2 linked regions of the Callithrix jacchus genome follow. Each later gene encodes a partner of the first gene's protein in a complex. Links are inferred from orthologs where the notes say so. Each region holds a gene or a part of one and is shown on either strand. Other genes may lie near its edges. The genes, in order: NPR1 and NPPA.

Region 1 (7,498 bases):
CCTCCAGGGTATCTCCAGTGGTCCCTTCTCCTAGCTTGGGATCTAAGGATTCCCCCACTCCCACCCACAAGATGAAGGTCCTTCCCAGGGCTCCAGTCCTTGCCCTTTCTTGAGTACCCTGAGATCCCTCCATAACTAGTTCTGTTGGCCAATCTCCCTTGTGTCCCTGAGGGCCCCTTCTCCATGCCACTGCCTCACTCCCCACATTACATGCTTCAGCTCAAACAGGACTTTTCGTGTCAGCTCAATGCGTTTACGGTTCACACGTTTCACAGCCACGAGGTTGCCCTGGGCATGGAATGGAGACTGTCACTGTGAAGAGCATGGCCCGGTGTCCTGGAATTCCAGCTACTCCCGACAGCCCATCCCTGCCCTCAGGACCCTCACTTGTTCCCAGTAGCCCACCCCTGGGGTCCGCATCTGCTGCTCCCCACCAGCTTACTCCTTCCCTCAGGACCCCCACCAGTCCTCCATCAGAGGACACTCCTGCCCCAGTCCCAAGGCCCGGTGATCTTTCCCCAGGCCTACCTTATAATATGCTGTCTTGGCAAAGACTTGGAACTGGCCCTCTGTGGTTAGCAGGGAGCCGTAATTGGAGCCTCTCTGAAAGGAGGGAGAGCGGGAGGAATGGTCACCCGGTGGAGCCAGTCTGCATCCTGATTGCTTGTGCTCTGTTCTTTATTGCCCTGCCTTACTCTGTCTTGCCTTTGCGTCATCCTTCCTTTTCGTTGTTTTTTTAGATGGATTCTTGCTCTATCGTCCAGGCTGGAGTGCAGCAGTGCTATCCTAGCTCACTGTCCAGCAGCCTCAGACTCCTGGGCTCAGATGATCCTCCCACCTCAGCCTCCAGAGTAACTGGGGCTATAGGCATGCGCCATCATGCCCGGCTAATTTTTGTATTCTTTGTAGAGATGATGTCTTGCTCTGTTGCCCAGGCTGGTCTTGAACTCCTAGGCACAAGCAATCCTCCTGCCTCAGCCTCCCAAAGTGCTGGGATTGCAGATGTGAGCCACTGCGCCTGACCCACCCTGCTTTATGTTCGAATCATAAATCTCCTCCTCATTTACTTGCTTTTTTTAAAAAAATGTGTTTTCACATGTACTATCTCCTCTGACCTTTAAAAGAGCCCTGTGAGGGAGGCTCTGCAGCTGTGATCATCATCTGAGACAGTCTCAGAGAGGGAATATGAGTCGCTCAAGGTCACACAGCAAGTGAAGGCAGAGCTGGGACTAGAATCTTGCTCCCTTCCCTATCCCTCAGGTACTGCCCCTGCACCCAGCTCTCATTTATTGCCTCCACACAAACACCAGTGTTCTTACCCCGCTCAGAGTCAGCCGGCTACCCGCACTCCGCAGGTGCCTCTCAAGGCTACTGGGCTCGACATCCTCCCAGCGCACCCGCCACAGCTCCGAGGCCAGTTCCTTCTCCAGCTGCATCTTCCTGGGGCATGAAGGCTGCATCTGAGCCTGTGGCTGAGCCCCTGACCTAGGACAGGGTGCTCCACAGCCCCTCCTCAGAGGCATGGAATCACATCATGGACTCAGAGATGGAGGGGAAATTCTATCCTCTGGACTGAGAATCAGGATGCCTGGGGGAAATTCTGTCTCACTGGGGACCTTGGGGGAATCACCTCAATGTCTGCATTTGGTAAAGAGGCCTCAATATCTATTTCATTCTTAACTATTATAAGAATGAAAAGAAATAGTGTATGTGGAAGTGCCTGGCACATATTACATGTTCAACTAGCAGTGATTTTATCCCCTCCCTCCTTGCTTTTGTGTATCATTAACTCCTCCTGCACTGCATTTTAGCCTCCACCGGACGGCAGGAATGGGGCTTATTCAACTCCCTTCTCCACTCTAGATTGAGCACCTGGCACACACCAGGGCTCGCCACCCTGCTCAGTAACATGGGCATGATCCCGAAAGTTCAGAACATTGCTTCCCATCTGGCCGGCGAGAGTAGCAAGGGAAACCAGTCCATGCCCCTATGATGTCACCCGTCAACTTGTCTGCTTCCTGGATATCTCTGACTTTCCTTGGCCATTCCTAGCCCAGTCTCTTCCCCTTGCCCTGCCATTTCCTTCTCTTTCTCTCTCCTCTGTCTTTTAAGTCTCCTTTATTCCTCATCTCCCTTGGTTTTCCCCTGCTGTCCCTTCATCCCTGTCCTCTTCCCTTTGGGTCCCCACCACCTCCTCTGCTATTGGTTCTCCAGGTCCTCCAGCCACATTCACCGCCTCCCCACATCACAGCTCACCTGTATATGAAGAAGGAGACAATCAGAATGCCGAGCAAGGAGAGGCTGCCCACCAAAGCCAGCACCTCCAGGGTGGAAAGGTGATCTGCAGGAGAGAGTCCGAATTGCAGCAAGAGAGATTTGGGTTAGACAACAGAAGGAAGAACTTTCTTTTTTTTTTAATTTTTATTTTTTAAAGACGGGGTTTCACCATGTTGGTCTGGCTGGTCTTGAACTCCCGACCTCAGGTGATCCACCCGCCTTGGCCTCCAAAGTGCTTGGATTACAGGCGTGAGCCACCACGCCCAGCCGTGGAGGAAGAAGTTTCTAATAGCCCATCAGTGAACTGGGATGATGGATGAAGGGAAGAAAAAGGCAGGAATCATTCTCAAGAAAGCCCTCATCGAGGGAGAGGAGCACCTACTCAACTGTGCTTAGGGGAAGGAGGCTGCATCTCTGGGATGGAGACCTGGAAGGCGAGGGCCAGTCACCTTGGTTGCATGCTGGGTCTTCGTTGTCAAAGCCACATTTGGGGACGTCGGGAGGAGGGTACCCCAGGGGCCAGCTCAATTTGCGCCCCGACACAGCCACCAGCTCTTGGGAAGTCCCATTGTAGTTCAGTACAACCTATGGGAGAGCAGGAGTGGTGGCTAGGCCAGGGCCTGAGGGGAAGGCTGCTGTGTAGCACAGCAATGTCACCTCCTACCTACCCCAGCTCTGCTTCCAGAGCTTATATATGTCTGGGTTGTCACCTGTTTACCAAGCCCCTGCTGCAACTGGATACTGGACCTCATACCACACACGTATTATTCAAGTGGAAACACCTGACAACTATCAAGAATTTTTACAAAGAAAACTCCATATAGAACCCAATGTCTACACTCAGGGAGTTTATAATCTTGGTTGAGGCACCAACCAAGCATTGATTTTTCTCTACCTATTTTCTTGGTAGAAAACAGAATAAGGCCGTGTTCACCTCAGCCTACATCCCCAGGCCCAATCCATGTGCCCCTCTTCCAGGAAACCTTCTCTGGATGACCTGTCCCTTGCTGCCATCGGTCTCAGTGGCTTCCTGTCCTCACTCACTTGTAGAGGTGTGTAATGTGCATCCTTTGTGACCCTGCCTCTGCTGGGAGGCGGTCCTGCCTGCTTCCCTTCGGAGCTCTCTGAGGCCAGGGTTGTGCTCTCTCCTCAGGCATGGGGCTCCCCAAGTGTGATGCCTGTGGGTCCCTATCGTTCTGGTGGCTTTCCCAGACTGGAGCTGGGTCTGTCTTATTCAGGGCTCTCGTAAGTGTCCAGGCACGGTAGAGTGGCTACAGGATAAAAGGTGCCCTGGTAAGGCTGTGGGGGGAAGTAGGAGGGTGAGATGCCATTTGGAGTTGGCACTGTCTTCTGGGTGCACAAACTTACCCTGAAGGCACCAGTCTCGGGATCCATATCCCAGAGGGAGAAGTCTGTTTCCCGATCACCACTGCTATCAATTTTCAGGTGTCCTGTCACACCTGAGGACACAGGGGAAGATGACTGTGTGGGAGAGAATGGAAGTTCAGCGGTATCCCACTTCATCTCTTCATCCTCTCATCTTTTTTGCCTTGCCTTCCAAACATACATGCATACAGAATGACAGTAAATGGTAAAAGGGCCGGGCACTGTGGCTCATGCCTGTAATCTCAGCGTTTTGGGAGGCTGAGGCAAGCGAATCACCTGAGGTCAGAAGTTTGAGACTAGCCTGCCAACATGAAACCCTGTCTCAACTAAAAAAACCTGCCAGTGTCCTCCTCCATCATCAGGAAAGACATGGAACAATGGGAAGGGAGGGAGGGTGATAACTGGGAATTGGGAAGGATGGAAGCTGGCAGAGGATCGTGGAGTGGGGGCTCAAGTTCCACGCTGGAGGGTCCCAGAACCTCTGGCTCTTTATATGTAATGATTTTGGCAGCCTGAGGAAGGGGTCAGTGGAGAGCGGAGAATTGGGAGCTGACTCTATGCCCGCAGTACTGTGGGGCCCCAACAGTCAGGAGCCCACCTCCCAGAGCTAGGTCTCTGCTTAGCTCAAGGTCAAACAGGACCCTATGCTCTGCAAGAAGTGATGCCCATCCCCCAAAAATACAAAAAATTAGCCAGGTGTGGTGGCGGACACCTGTAATCCCAACTACTCAGGAGGCTGAGGCAGGAGAATCGCTTGAACCTGGGAGTTGGAGGTTGCAGTGAGCTGAGATCTAGCCACTGCATTCCAGCCTTGGGAACAGAACGAGACTCCATCTCAAAAATAAAATAAAATAAAAGGATCCAGTGCCCAGCAGGGATGATTGAGGTTGGACACTCAGTAGGACTTCTGGAGGGATGCGCCTGAGAAAAAGCTGTGGAGGAAAAGGCTGGTGTGCACTGGTGACTCTGTGCTACAGACTTCTCACGACAGTGGGCACCTGGGATTCATCCCCCAAGGCTGCCCATTCCAGCCACCTCAAGGCCCTGACCTTGAAAGCTTCGGTTCCACATCCGCTGAGTGATGTTCTCCCCATCAGTGACAGTTCCTCCATGTGCCAGAGTCTCCGTCACTGCCTGGACATAGAGCAGCAGCCCATCATGGAAGGACGCTGGGATGGTGTTCACCTGTGGGGGCAAGCAGAGGTTGGCTGGGGTGAGGTGAATGAAGGGCATGGAGTTGGGGGCTGTGGGGAAGGGAATGAGAGGCACTGGGAGTTTGGAAGAGGATAGGAGAAAATAACACCCCTACATCACTGGGAGATTTTACTATTTATTTATTTTTGTTGTTGGTACCAACAGACTATTTAGATTTTACTATTTAAATGATGCCTTTGGATTAGCATCGCTTCCTGAATCACACTAGGCACACAGGGCGGGATGTATCATCTCTGTATTATGGATGGTAACCTGAGTTTCAGAGGCTGAACTTGCCAGTGTCCTCCTTCATCATCAGGAGGAGGCACTGATGATGCCTTGGAGTTGGCCCTGTCTTCCGGATGCACGAACTTACCCTGAAGGCACCAGTCTTGGGATTCACATCCCAGAGGGATAAGTCGGGAGAGACATGGAACAATGGGAAGGGAAGGAAGGGGAGAACTGGGAAGAGGGAATGGAGGCTGGCAGAGGGTCGTGGAGTGGGGGCTGAAGGTCCACGCTGTAGGGTCCCGGTACCTCTTCTTACCAGGCCGTCCTCCATGGTGAAGTTGAACTGCTCCCGGGCCAGGTGTTTTAGCTGCTTCAGGAATTCCAAGTACTCGGGATTATCTGGTTCTTTATATGTAATGATTTTGACAGCCTGAGGAAGCGGTCGGCAGAGAGCAGAGAGTTGGGAGCTGACTCTATCCCCGCAGTACCATGGGGCCCCAACAGTTAGAGCCCACCTCCCAGAGCTGGGTCTCCGCTTAGCTCAAGGTCAAACTGAACCCTATTCCCCGCATGAAGTGATGCCCATTCCAAAGCAGGGAATCCAAAGGGATGGCTTCTCCAAGTCCTGTCCAGACAGTGGGACTTTAACCTCCTCCCCTCTAAAGCCCATTTTCTTCTTTTTAGCCTGCTGGTGCTCAAGCGCCCCGGCTAGTCCCCTGCCTTTCACTGCCTAATTCCCAGAGAGCATCACCAACCACTTTTCTGTTCTGTGAGTTACCATGAGTGCATGAAGAAACAAACAGACCAAACCTTTTTTTTCTGGAATTCTTTCAGACACTGAGGGACACAGTGCCCAGAAATGACGTGCCACAAGCTGAGATGGCCTGAGCTTCAAACCTAGGTACTAACTTCAAACCTAGGTACTCACCTCAAACCTAGGTACTCACCTGAAAGGCTTGGCGGGCACTGACATCCTGCCCATCTCCTCTCTCCCAGGGCCTGCGGGGAACAGGGCCCTGTCCACCTTGCAGGCTTTGCCCAAAGATATCCAGGTGAAAGAAAACGTAGTCCTCCCCACTCAAGCCAGCTTCCAGGGCCAGAAGCATAAGGGCTCTGAAGGCATCAGGCGAGCTGCAGATGTAGATAACTGCAGAAAAAGGAGTATTCAGAGAGAGAAGCCTAGGTACTGTGGGAGAGACAGGGCTAGGAAAGCGGAGGCACCGAGGGGAGGAGGTTAGAGATGGGGGGCAGGAGAAGCCCGGTGAGAGTTAAGTGGCAACCCGGCTCAGCCTAGACCACGGCAGGGCAGGAGAAAGACGAAGGGTCGAAGGCGATGTGGGGGGCGGAAGAGAGGAAGGGACAGATATGGAGAGGGGAATAGTGGAGCTGAAGGTAGAGAAGGGTGGGGCCAGGAGGGCGACAGGAGCGAGGGCGGGGGGCGGTGCGGAGAGGACTTTGAGGAGCGACGGGAAGAGAGGATGAAGGTGGGGAGAAGGCTATAGGGAAGCGAGAAAATGCGGGAGATAAAAAGGGACCGGAACTGAGCTTTGCCAGGGTTGGAGGGAGTGAGTGGGGGTCGGGGAGGTGAGAGTATAGAGGCGCGGTGCAGGGTGGCTAAAAAGAGAGGGAAATAGAAAACTCCGCAGCAGAAAGGGCCTAGGAGCTGAGAGGGGAATGAAGACCGGGGAGGAGAAAGAAGAGTGGCCCGGACGAGAGACGAGAGTGGAAGTCAGAGGGGAAGCCCTGCGGCGGAGCTGCGGGACCCGGTGCGCCCGCGTCTCACCTCGGCCTTTGCGCGGCACGGTCCGCAGCAGCCTGGTGTAGTGGCCGAGGTCGTTCTCGGCGAACTCCAGGTGGTCCACCGTGATATTGAGGCGGTCGCGGACACGCATAAACAGCCCCTCCACGAGGAAGAAGCAGTGCTCGTCGTCACCCGGCCGGTAGGCGTAGAGCATGAGCGCCTGGCGCTCCCAGCCCAGCCGTCGGTGCAGCGCCGCCACGAAGTCGCCCAGCTTTGCGTAGCTGGGCCCCGCGCGGGTGGTCAGCGCGTACTCGTCCTTGACACCGAAGCCCAGCGCCGGGGCGCCGGCGGTCAGCAGCGGCACCCGCCAGTGCGCGGTGAAGCGCCCTACCGGGGCGGCGGCGTACACGCAGCCCGGGCCCAGGAACACCGCGGGGTTGTGCTCCCACTTGAGGTCCACCGCGGCCAGGGGCGCGGCGGTGTCAGAGCAGACGCCCAGCGCGTTCTCGCTGCTGCCCAGCACCGTGCGGACCGTCCAGCCTGGCAGCAAGTCGGGGCGCGCCTTCACCCGGGCCAGGGCCAGCTCCACGGCGGGTCCCACGCGCGCCCACGACCACGGGTACGAGGTGTTGGCCAGAGGCAGTACCACGGCTATCGTCAGGTTTCCCG
Region 2 (7,400 bases), on another chromosome or scaffold:
GATCCTTGGATGGAGATCCTGCGTGTGGCTAGAGGTGGTGGTTTGTGTTTGGTCTCCAGCTTGGCGTCTCGTGGCTCCTAGGCGAGATGATTGGTGAGCAGGACTGAGGGGTCCCCGGCCCTGGCTGTGGGACCTTGTGCTGTGGGATGATTTGCTCATGACCTTGTTTAACAGTTCCCAGCTGGAAGGGACACTTTCTGGACTCAGCCCTGTGTATGACATTTGTGCTGCAGAATTAGGCACTGACAGGAGCCTGGGTGACAGGAAGGCCTCTCCGGCCCCGCAGTATTGACGTGCAGTATTGCCCCACGGCTCTGCGGACCTTGGCCATTGCCACCGTCGCAGCTTCCTTTTTCTGTTTGCACTGTTGGTTTGTATGATGTGAGCTAATTCCACTGTGTATATAAATTGTATTTTTTTTAATTTGTAAAATGCTATTTTTATTTGAACCTTTGGAACTTGGGAGTTCTCATTGTAACCATAACATGTCAGAATAAAATGTCTTCTGTCTCCTTTAGCCTTTTGTCTCCATGCTGCTCTTTCTTTCAAGGGGTACTTGGTTTTTATTTTATTCCCCCTGTTTCTGATGTGTGAAAATTACACTAGGACATGGCTTTATAGTCTCAGAGCTCTCCCTATGCAGCTGCCCAGCAGGGCTCTTCATCCATGGGAGTCCATTTCTCTGTACCAAGCAGCGACCTTAATAAGAACGGATTTCATCCTGTGGGTCTTAGTAGAAGTCAGCAGTATCTGTTTCTCCCTGATGAGCACTCTTCCCGATCCTGTCCTCTAGAAACCATCTCCTCCTGCTAGCAACAGCGTCCTGGAGCAGCAGATGGGGAATCCATTCTATTAGGAATATTTCCCGCAAGCAGATGCCCTAATGTCCAACCAGAAGTGAAACTGGCGCTGGATCTGGAGAGGTGGAGACCCGTGGCCAGCTTCTGTCGCTGCTATCTGCCATTGTGTTTTGGTTGCTTTCGGTTTTGCAAGAAGCATGGCCTCTGTCTCCCTCCGACCTGCTTCGAGTCATCATTCCATCAGAGACAGAAACAGTTGCAGTCAATTCAGGCCTAGCACCTAGCCCCAAGTATTCTGGAACTCCAGGGGTGTGTGTATTTGTCATGTCTATTCGATGAGAACTCCCTGTGTTACGGAGACGCCTTGGAAATGGGCCCAGCTGCTACTTCCCCTGCTGACAACTCGTAACACTGTAATACTGTGCCAGACCTCTGGAGCCAGGTTTGGGCCAGCACTGTCTCCTGTTGCTCTTAGCTTCATCCTTTTCATTCTCTATCTGCCTCCCAGTTTCTGCCCTTCAGTGTGTAAAGCCCAGATAGGGAACATTTTGATTGGAAGTGGTTAGATGAAGCTTTTTCCCCACCTTCACCCGCTGTCAGCAGTTCACGGGGACCCTCCCACTTTCCTCTGCAAGGAGCAAATTTCCATTTCCTTTCCTCTTTTCCCAATTTCTCGACAAGACCAAGGCAATTTGACCAACATTTAGGGGGCATCAACTCAGAGTGCCAAAGAGGCATTTGCCCTCAAAGAGCTTGCAGTCTAGGGACGTAGACAAGCAATTGCACACTGGCAGCTCATGTTGTGTGCTACTATTACTGTTACATGTGAAATGCTGCCTGTGAAGAGATTCGTTACTGGGCATGAGATATCAGGGAAGAAGTGGTGCTCACATGAGCCTTAAGGAATGAGTACAATGTCCTCGGGAGGACCAGAGGAAGGAAACCCAGGTGAAAGAAACAGAAATAAGGGCACAAGGGCACATGTGGGTGTGGGGTGTTGGAGTGCCATAGAATCTGATGAGAGGGTGGAGTCCATGGGTAACAGGTGGGAAGACAGGTCACTCTGTTTAAGGTGAACTTCAACCCTGGTTTTTTGTGCTCAGAACAATAGCCTTTTCAGGAGCAGATAGAAAAAGCCTGTATCTTCTCCAGTGGTTCTTATTTTAGTAAAATACAAGCCCAGGCCCTTTGGACCCGAATTAGTCAAAGACTTTGGCTATTTTCTAAATACTTGTTAGTACAACAAAGGCACATAAACTCAGTTTGTCTGCATGGCAAACCTGTCTTCACTGTGCTCAGTTTTTATTATATTTTTGAAACAAGTCTCATTCTGTCACTCAGGCTAGAGTGCAGTGGCATGATACCAGCTCACTGCAGCCTCCACCTCCTAGGCTCAAGCCATCGTCCCACCTTGGCCTCCCAAATAGCTGGAACTACAAGTGCACATCACCACACCTGGCTAATTTTTAATTTTTTTTTATAGAGATGGGGTCTCACTCTATTACTCAGGCTGGTCTTAAACTCCTGGGCTCAAGTGATTTGCCCATCTTGGCCTCCCAAAATGCTGGGATTATAGGAGTGAGCCACCATGCCTGGCCTGCTCAGCTTTTAAACTCAACACTCTGCCTATTCTTTTCAAAACTAAAAAGTACCATTAACTTATCTGTAGCATCTCTCTCGAAATGTATCAGAGAGGATCTAATTAAATACTTTCATTTTCTGAATGTCCCCCTCTAAAAACAATAAAAACCCGTGTAACCAGAAACCACTGTGGGTGGAATTTGAGGCCTCCCCAACGACCCACAGAAAAGGAGGGAGAAATGAAAGGAAAAAGAAAAGTTGAGCATTTGTTTTTCTCTGACAAAGAGTAAAATGACAAGGAAAATCAAGCTGAACTCTGCCCGGAGACGGAAGAAATCACACCAATGTGGGCATCTGTCTTCTGTCCATGGTGCTGAAATTTATTCACTTTCAAATCACTTTCAGTAACAGGTGAGGTTCTACCTTAAAATTTAATGCATGGGGTGGGAGAGGCGAGGAAGCCACAATCAAACCACTTCATCTACAGTTAGCATAAAATATGAGAAGTGTTGACAGGAAGCCACAGCTTGGATTGGATGATCACAACTCCAGGGCAATGAGATGACACGAAGTTGCAGGAGAGACCCCAGGGGACAAGAGTCTCTTGCCATCTGCCCCAGGGCCCAGCCCTCCTTGTCCTCCCTGGCTGTTATCTTCGGTACTACAAAGAGAACACAGACATATCTAGCGTGGTGACCTGGCTGTACTGGAAATGTCAGCTTCATTTATGAATGTGCCCATCCTCTGACCTTGATTACTGATCACCTTCCCACCAGCCCCCATCCTGCCTGACGACTCTCTGAGCTTCATGAATTGATAAGCAAGTTACTCAGCAGAGTAAATGTCACTTAAGCCCTTCAGGATCTTACAGTTCTGGAGAGGAACATGAACTGCTAATCAGCCATGCAAAGATAACTTGGACCTATGGATATTTTAATTTCCTAGTGCTAGTGGCAGTCACTTTTTTTTTTTTTTTTTTTAGCATTTTCTCAGCAGACTGTAGCTGAGGATGATAGATGGTGTGTCCTGACACCTATGGGGCACTCATGGTGTTGGGGCAGAAACTTCGGAGGGAATAATTCCTGCTAAAGGTGTCTCCCAATAGTGTTCATCCCATTCCATTTCCATCCCCAGTTCCTCTTACCCGGAAGCTGTTACAGCCCAGTCCGCTCTGGGCTCCAATTCTGTCCATCCTGCCCCCAAAGCAACTGGATCTCCGCAGGCTCCGTGGGGCAGTGAGCAACGCCCTCAGCTTGCTTTTTAGGAGCGCAGATCTATCGGAGGAGTCCCAGGGGCCCCGCCCGAAGGCACCCCCATCTCTCTGGGCTGGGCTGACATCCCCAGTCCAGGGAGGCACCTCAGGGAGGGGGCTGAGGGCAGCCCCCGCTTCTTCATTCTGCTCACTGAGCACTTGTGGGGGCACGACCTCATCTTCTAAAGGCATCTTTTCTTCCAAATGGTCCAGCAAATTCTTTACAAAAGAAAAATACAAGGAAAGGGATAAGCCTCATTGACTTGGAGAAAATCAAGAGGAACGAGAACAGCATCAAAAGTCCCCTGGCCCCAGACTGCACCCACTTTCCTGGTCCTACCTTGAAATCCATCAGGTCTGCGTTGGACATGGCATTGTACACGGGGTTAGCTCTGGTCTGAGCTGGAAGCTGGAATGCCAGAAAGAAGAGGAAGCTCACGGTGACAGTGGAGAAGGAGCCCATGCTGGTGTAGTCAAGGAGCGATCGACTGCTTGCTGCTCTGTCTCTCCCCTCTGGTTCCTCTCTAGTTCCCCTCTCCTGGCCTACGTCCGTCCCTGTCTCCAAACTGCCCAGCACCTCCTCTTTTTATAGTCCTCCCAACTCTTCAAGCACGCAGGAAAGATAGAACCCTCCCCATTCTGTCACTTGCAGTGATAAAGCAGCCGAGAGAGAAGCCAGCAGGAGATGCCCTTTTAAAGTTATCATCCCACAGGGCTTGTCACAGCCCCTCTGCCTCGGGCAGCCCCAACAGCCCCCCAGACCCTCAGCTGCAAGAGCTGAATTCTTGCTGATTTGACTCAAGAGGCTCCCACTTCAAAGGTGTGGGAAGAGCAAAAAAGAGTCCTTGGTTATCTCACCGCCATGCCTCAGGATTCTTTCTCCTCAACACTGGTACCCATGCAGGGAAACAGAGGGTGATATTTGGCTGGTGCCCAGCTCCCCCAGGCTTGTCTGTGGCTCAGCTGTCAGGGCCTCCAAATAAGGGTGGAGAGGAGAAAATGGCAAGCAGCCAGCAGCCTGAGACAAATGGGTCCAGAGGCTCAAGCTGGCCTCACACCTGCCTCATCTGCCACGTGGCCTAAAACAAGGCCGCCCTCACCCCTGGCCGTCTGTCCCTCTCCATGGTCAGGTGAAAAGGAGTTATTTGTTAGAATATGAAGTCAGCCAAGAACCAAATGTGATGAAGCTCCCAAGAATTCAACCCCCAAACAGAAATATCAAGAAAAGCCGGGGGAGCACAAGCATCCACTCTCTAAAGCTCCTCCTCCTCCACATCCCCCGTGACCCTCCTCCAACCTGCAGTGGGGATAGGCTTTGAGAACACAGCCAATTTCATTTCATCTCTTGCAATTTATAGACACTCAGACTTGTACGGCTCCCTGCCCTTCCTGGACTTGTGCCCATGGCCACTTGGTCAATGAAGGGAGGGAGGTGGGAATGAAGGAGGTATAGTCAGTTTCCCTCAGTGCCCTCCACCTCATTCCCTGAGGCTAGGAAAGTGACTGAGCCACCAAGGTCACAATCTTCCTGACCCCCAAAAGAGAAATAACAGGCAGCGAGTCTGTCTATGGTGTTTGTTTTTTGTTTTTAGGGTTTTTTTTTTTTGAGACAGAGTCTCACTCTGTCACCAGGCTGGAGTGCAGTGGCATGATCTTGGCTCATTGCAACCTCCACCTCTCGGGTTCAAGCGATTCTCCTGCCTCAGCCTTCTGAGTAGCTGGGACTACAGGCACACACCACCATGCCAAGCTAATTTTTGTATTTTTAGTGGAGATGGGCTTTCTCCATGTTGGCCAGGATGGTCTCCATCTCTTGACCTCATGGTCCACCCGCTCAGCCTCCCAAAGTGCTGGGATTACAGGCATGAGCCACTGCACCCGGCCAAGTCCAGCTATGTCTAATGAATGGCCTGTTTGCTAAGCACGGAACTCAGTGTTAGCCCTTACCATTCAATGCAATGTATACTTGGGGAAAACACTAAATTTGAAGGGTTGAGAGACCTGCACTTCAGCCCAAAACAAACCAGTTGCTTACATCTTCATGGCCTTATTTTCCTGTGTGTAAAATGAAAAAGAATGTAAAAACCGGCTGGGCGCAGTGGCTCATGCCTATAATCCCAGCACTTTGGGAGGCCAAGGTGGGTGGATCACCTGAAGCCAGGAGTTCGAGACCAGCCTGGCCAACATGACAAAACTCTGTCTCTACTAAAAATTTAAAAATCAGTTGGGCACGGTGGCACGTGCCTGTAATCCCAACTACTAAGGAAGCTGAGGTAAAAGAATTGCTTGACTGTTGGAAGCAGAGGTTGTAGTGAACCAAGATGGCACCACTGCACTCCAGCCTGGGCAACAGAGTAAGACTTGGTCTCAAAAAATATAAATAAATAAAGTAGAAACCTTCCCTGCCTACCTTGGGTTGGCAGGGTTGTTGTGGAGCCCAAGTCAGCTGAAAAAGTGTAAACACGTATCAAGTGTGCAGTGCTGAGTCCCTGCAAGATGGCCATGATAGTTGTCTTTATTGATTGCTTATAACATGCCCGGCACATGACTGAGAGCTTTATGGAAATGATTTTATTTTGATCACCATCCCCAGGCAATAGATATCATTGTCCTTACTTACAAAGGCACAGAACTGAGCCTGAGAGGCTATGCCACTTGCCCAAGGCCGCCAAGTGCCTAAGTGGCCGAACCAAGACTGGAACTCCAGGTCTGACATTGATGTCCGTATCTTAGTTTATTTCACATAGAGTACAGCCTCCTCATCCCTTAGCTGCATTCCCCAATTAAACCCTCATTCCTTATCTTTCAGATGCCCCAAGGGAAGTCCTTCACCTTCCCTGTGTCCCTGGGACTATAGCTTTCTGTGCGCTTACCAAGTCTGTTTCTGTTCGGCTGCTCTTCTGATCTATTTCTATACCGAATGTGTTTTAATCCACTCTTCGGAAGCTCAGAAAACATGTGTTGAGTGACCAGCTCTGTCCTGGCCAGATCTGTCCCTAGCTGTGTTGACCTCATGCTTGACTAGGTGGTCAGGGCGTTGTGCAGCCGTAAAGTTGGAAATCAGGGCAGCAAGTGGCCGGAGGTCACAAGAGGTATCCAGGGTAATATTATTCTAAGACAAGATAAAAGAGGCCCTCTTTGGCAAGCCTTGGGGGATGTGTGTTTGGGGGGATCTAATATTTCACGGCGTGGTTAGAAGCAGCCTGTAGGAGTGAGAGAGAAGAAAAGTAACAGACACAGATTTGGCAATTGATTTGGGTCAGCCAAGCTCAACTTGAAATCTGAAGTGGGTGCAATCCTTTTTTTTTTTTTTTTAAATAAAGACAGGGTCTTGCTATATTGCCCAGGCTGGTTTTGAACTCTTGGGCTTAAGTATTCCTCCTGCTTTGGCCTTTCATAGTGCTGGGATTACAGGAGTGAGCCACTGCACCCAGCCTGAAATGGGTGCAATTCTAAGCAAGAGCTTGCAGGACAAAAACCTCTCATATCCTGACGAGCCCCTGGAATGTGCTCGCAGCTGAATTGCTCGATTGGCAGGGTTATTATTAGCGAAGAGGATCCAGCGAGCACCCTCAGTGGGGGAAGCACATGCTGGTGCTGCGTGCGTCATACCGCCTGTCTCCTGGAGATGCCCTTTGAGATGGGCCTTTGATATGAGCAGGGACTTCCGTGGCGATGCTGCTCCTCTGTCCTGAGCCACTGCTGAAGACTGTAGGTAGCCCAAGGAGAAGCGGAAGTCCCATCCCAGATTCCAGAAAGAGAATTTC

Evidence for each region.
Region 2: the proteins of NPR1 (region 1) and NPPA are in contact, whole or in part, in a crystal structure (PDB 7BRG), measured with the Rattus norvegicus proteins. The link is inferred for Callithrix jacchus from reciprocal best matches to the Homo sapiens genes NPR1 and NPPA. Residues at the interface, in NP_036745.1 of Rattus norvegicus: Asp90, Val115, Tyr116, Ala119, Pro120, Arg123, Ala139, Leu140, Gly141, Ile142, Val144, Tyr148, Tyr182, Asp184, Leu186, Gly187, Asp188, Asp189, Arg190, Phe193, Phe194, Val196, Glu197, Tyr200, Met201, Arg204, His213, Gln214, Glu215, Phe216; in NP_036744.1 of Rattus norvegicus: Arg126, Ser127, Ser128, Cys129, Phe130, Gly131, Gly132, Arg133, Ile134, Asp135, Arg136, Ile137, Gly138, Ala139, Gln140, Ser141, Gly142, Leu143, Gly144, Cys145, Asn146, Ser147, Phe148, Arg149, Tyr150.

The regions. Positions count from the first base shown.
Region 1 is NC_133519.1:14,103,842-14,111,339, reverse strand, and holds part of NPR1 (atrial natriuretic peptide receptor 1), read right to left. Parts: coding exon 6,872-7,498; intron 6,236-6,871; coding exon 6,036-6,235; intron 5,519-6,035; coding exon 5,405-5,518; intron 4,849-5,404; coding exon 4,713-4,848; intron 3,738-4,712; coding exon 3,646-3,737; intron 2,863-3,645; coding exon 2,727-2,862; intron 2,342-2,726; coding exon 2,257-2,341; intron 1,441-2,256; coding exon 1,320-1,440; intron 604-1,319; coding exon 529-603; intron 289-528; coding exon 211-288; intron 1-210. UniProt on the Homo sapiens protein: Receptor for the atrial natriuretic peptide NPPA/ANP and the brain natriuretic peptide NPPB/BNP which are potent vasoactive hormones playing a key role in cardiovascular homeostasis.
Region 2 is NC_133508.1:49,727,364-49,734,763, forward strand, and holds NPPA (natriuretic peptides A), read right to left. Parts: upstream 4,196-7,400; 5' UTR 4,097-4,195; coding exon 3,974-4,096; intron 3,853-3,973; coding exon 3,526-3,852; intron 3,043-3,525; coding exon 3,031-3,042; 3' UTR 2,741-3,030; downstream 1-2,740.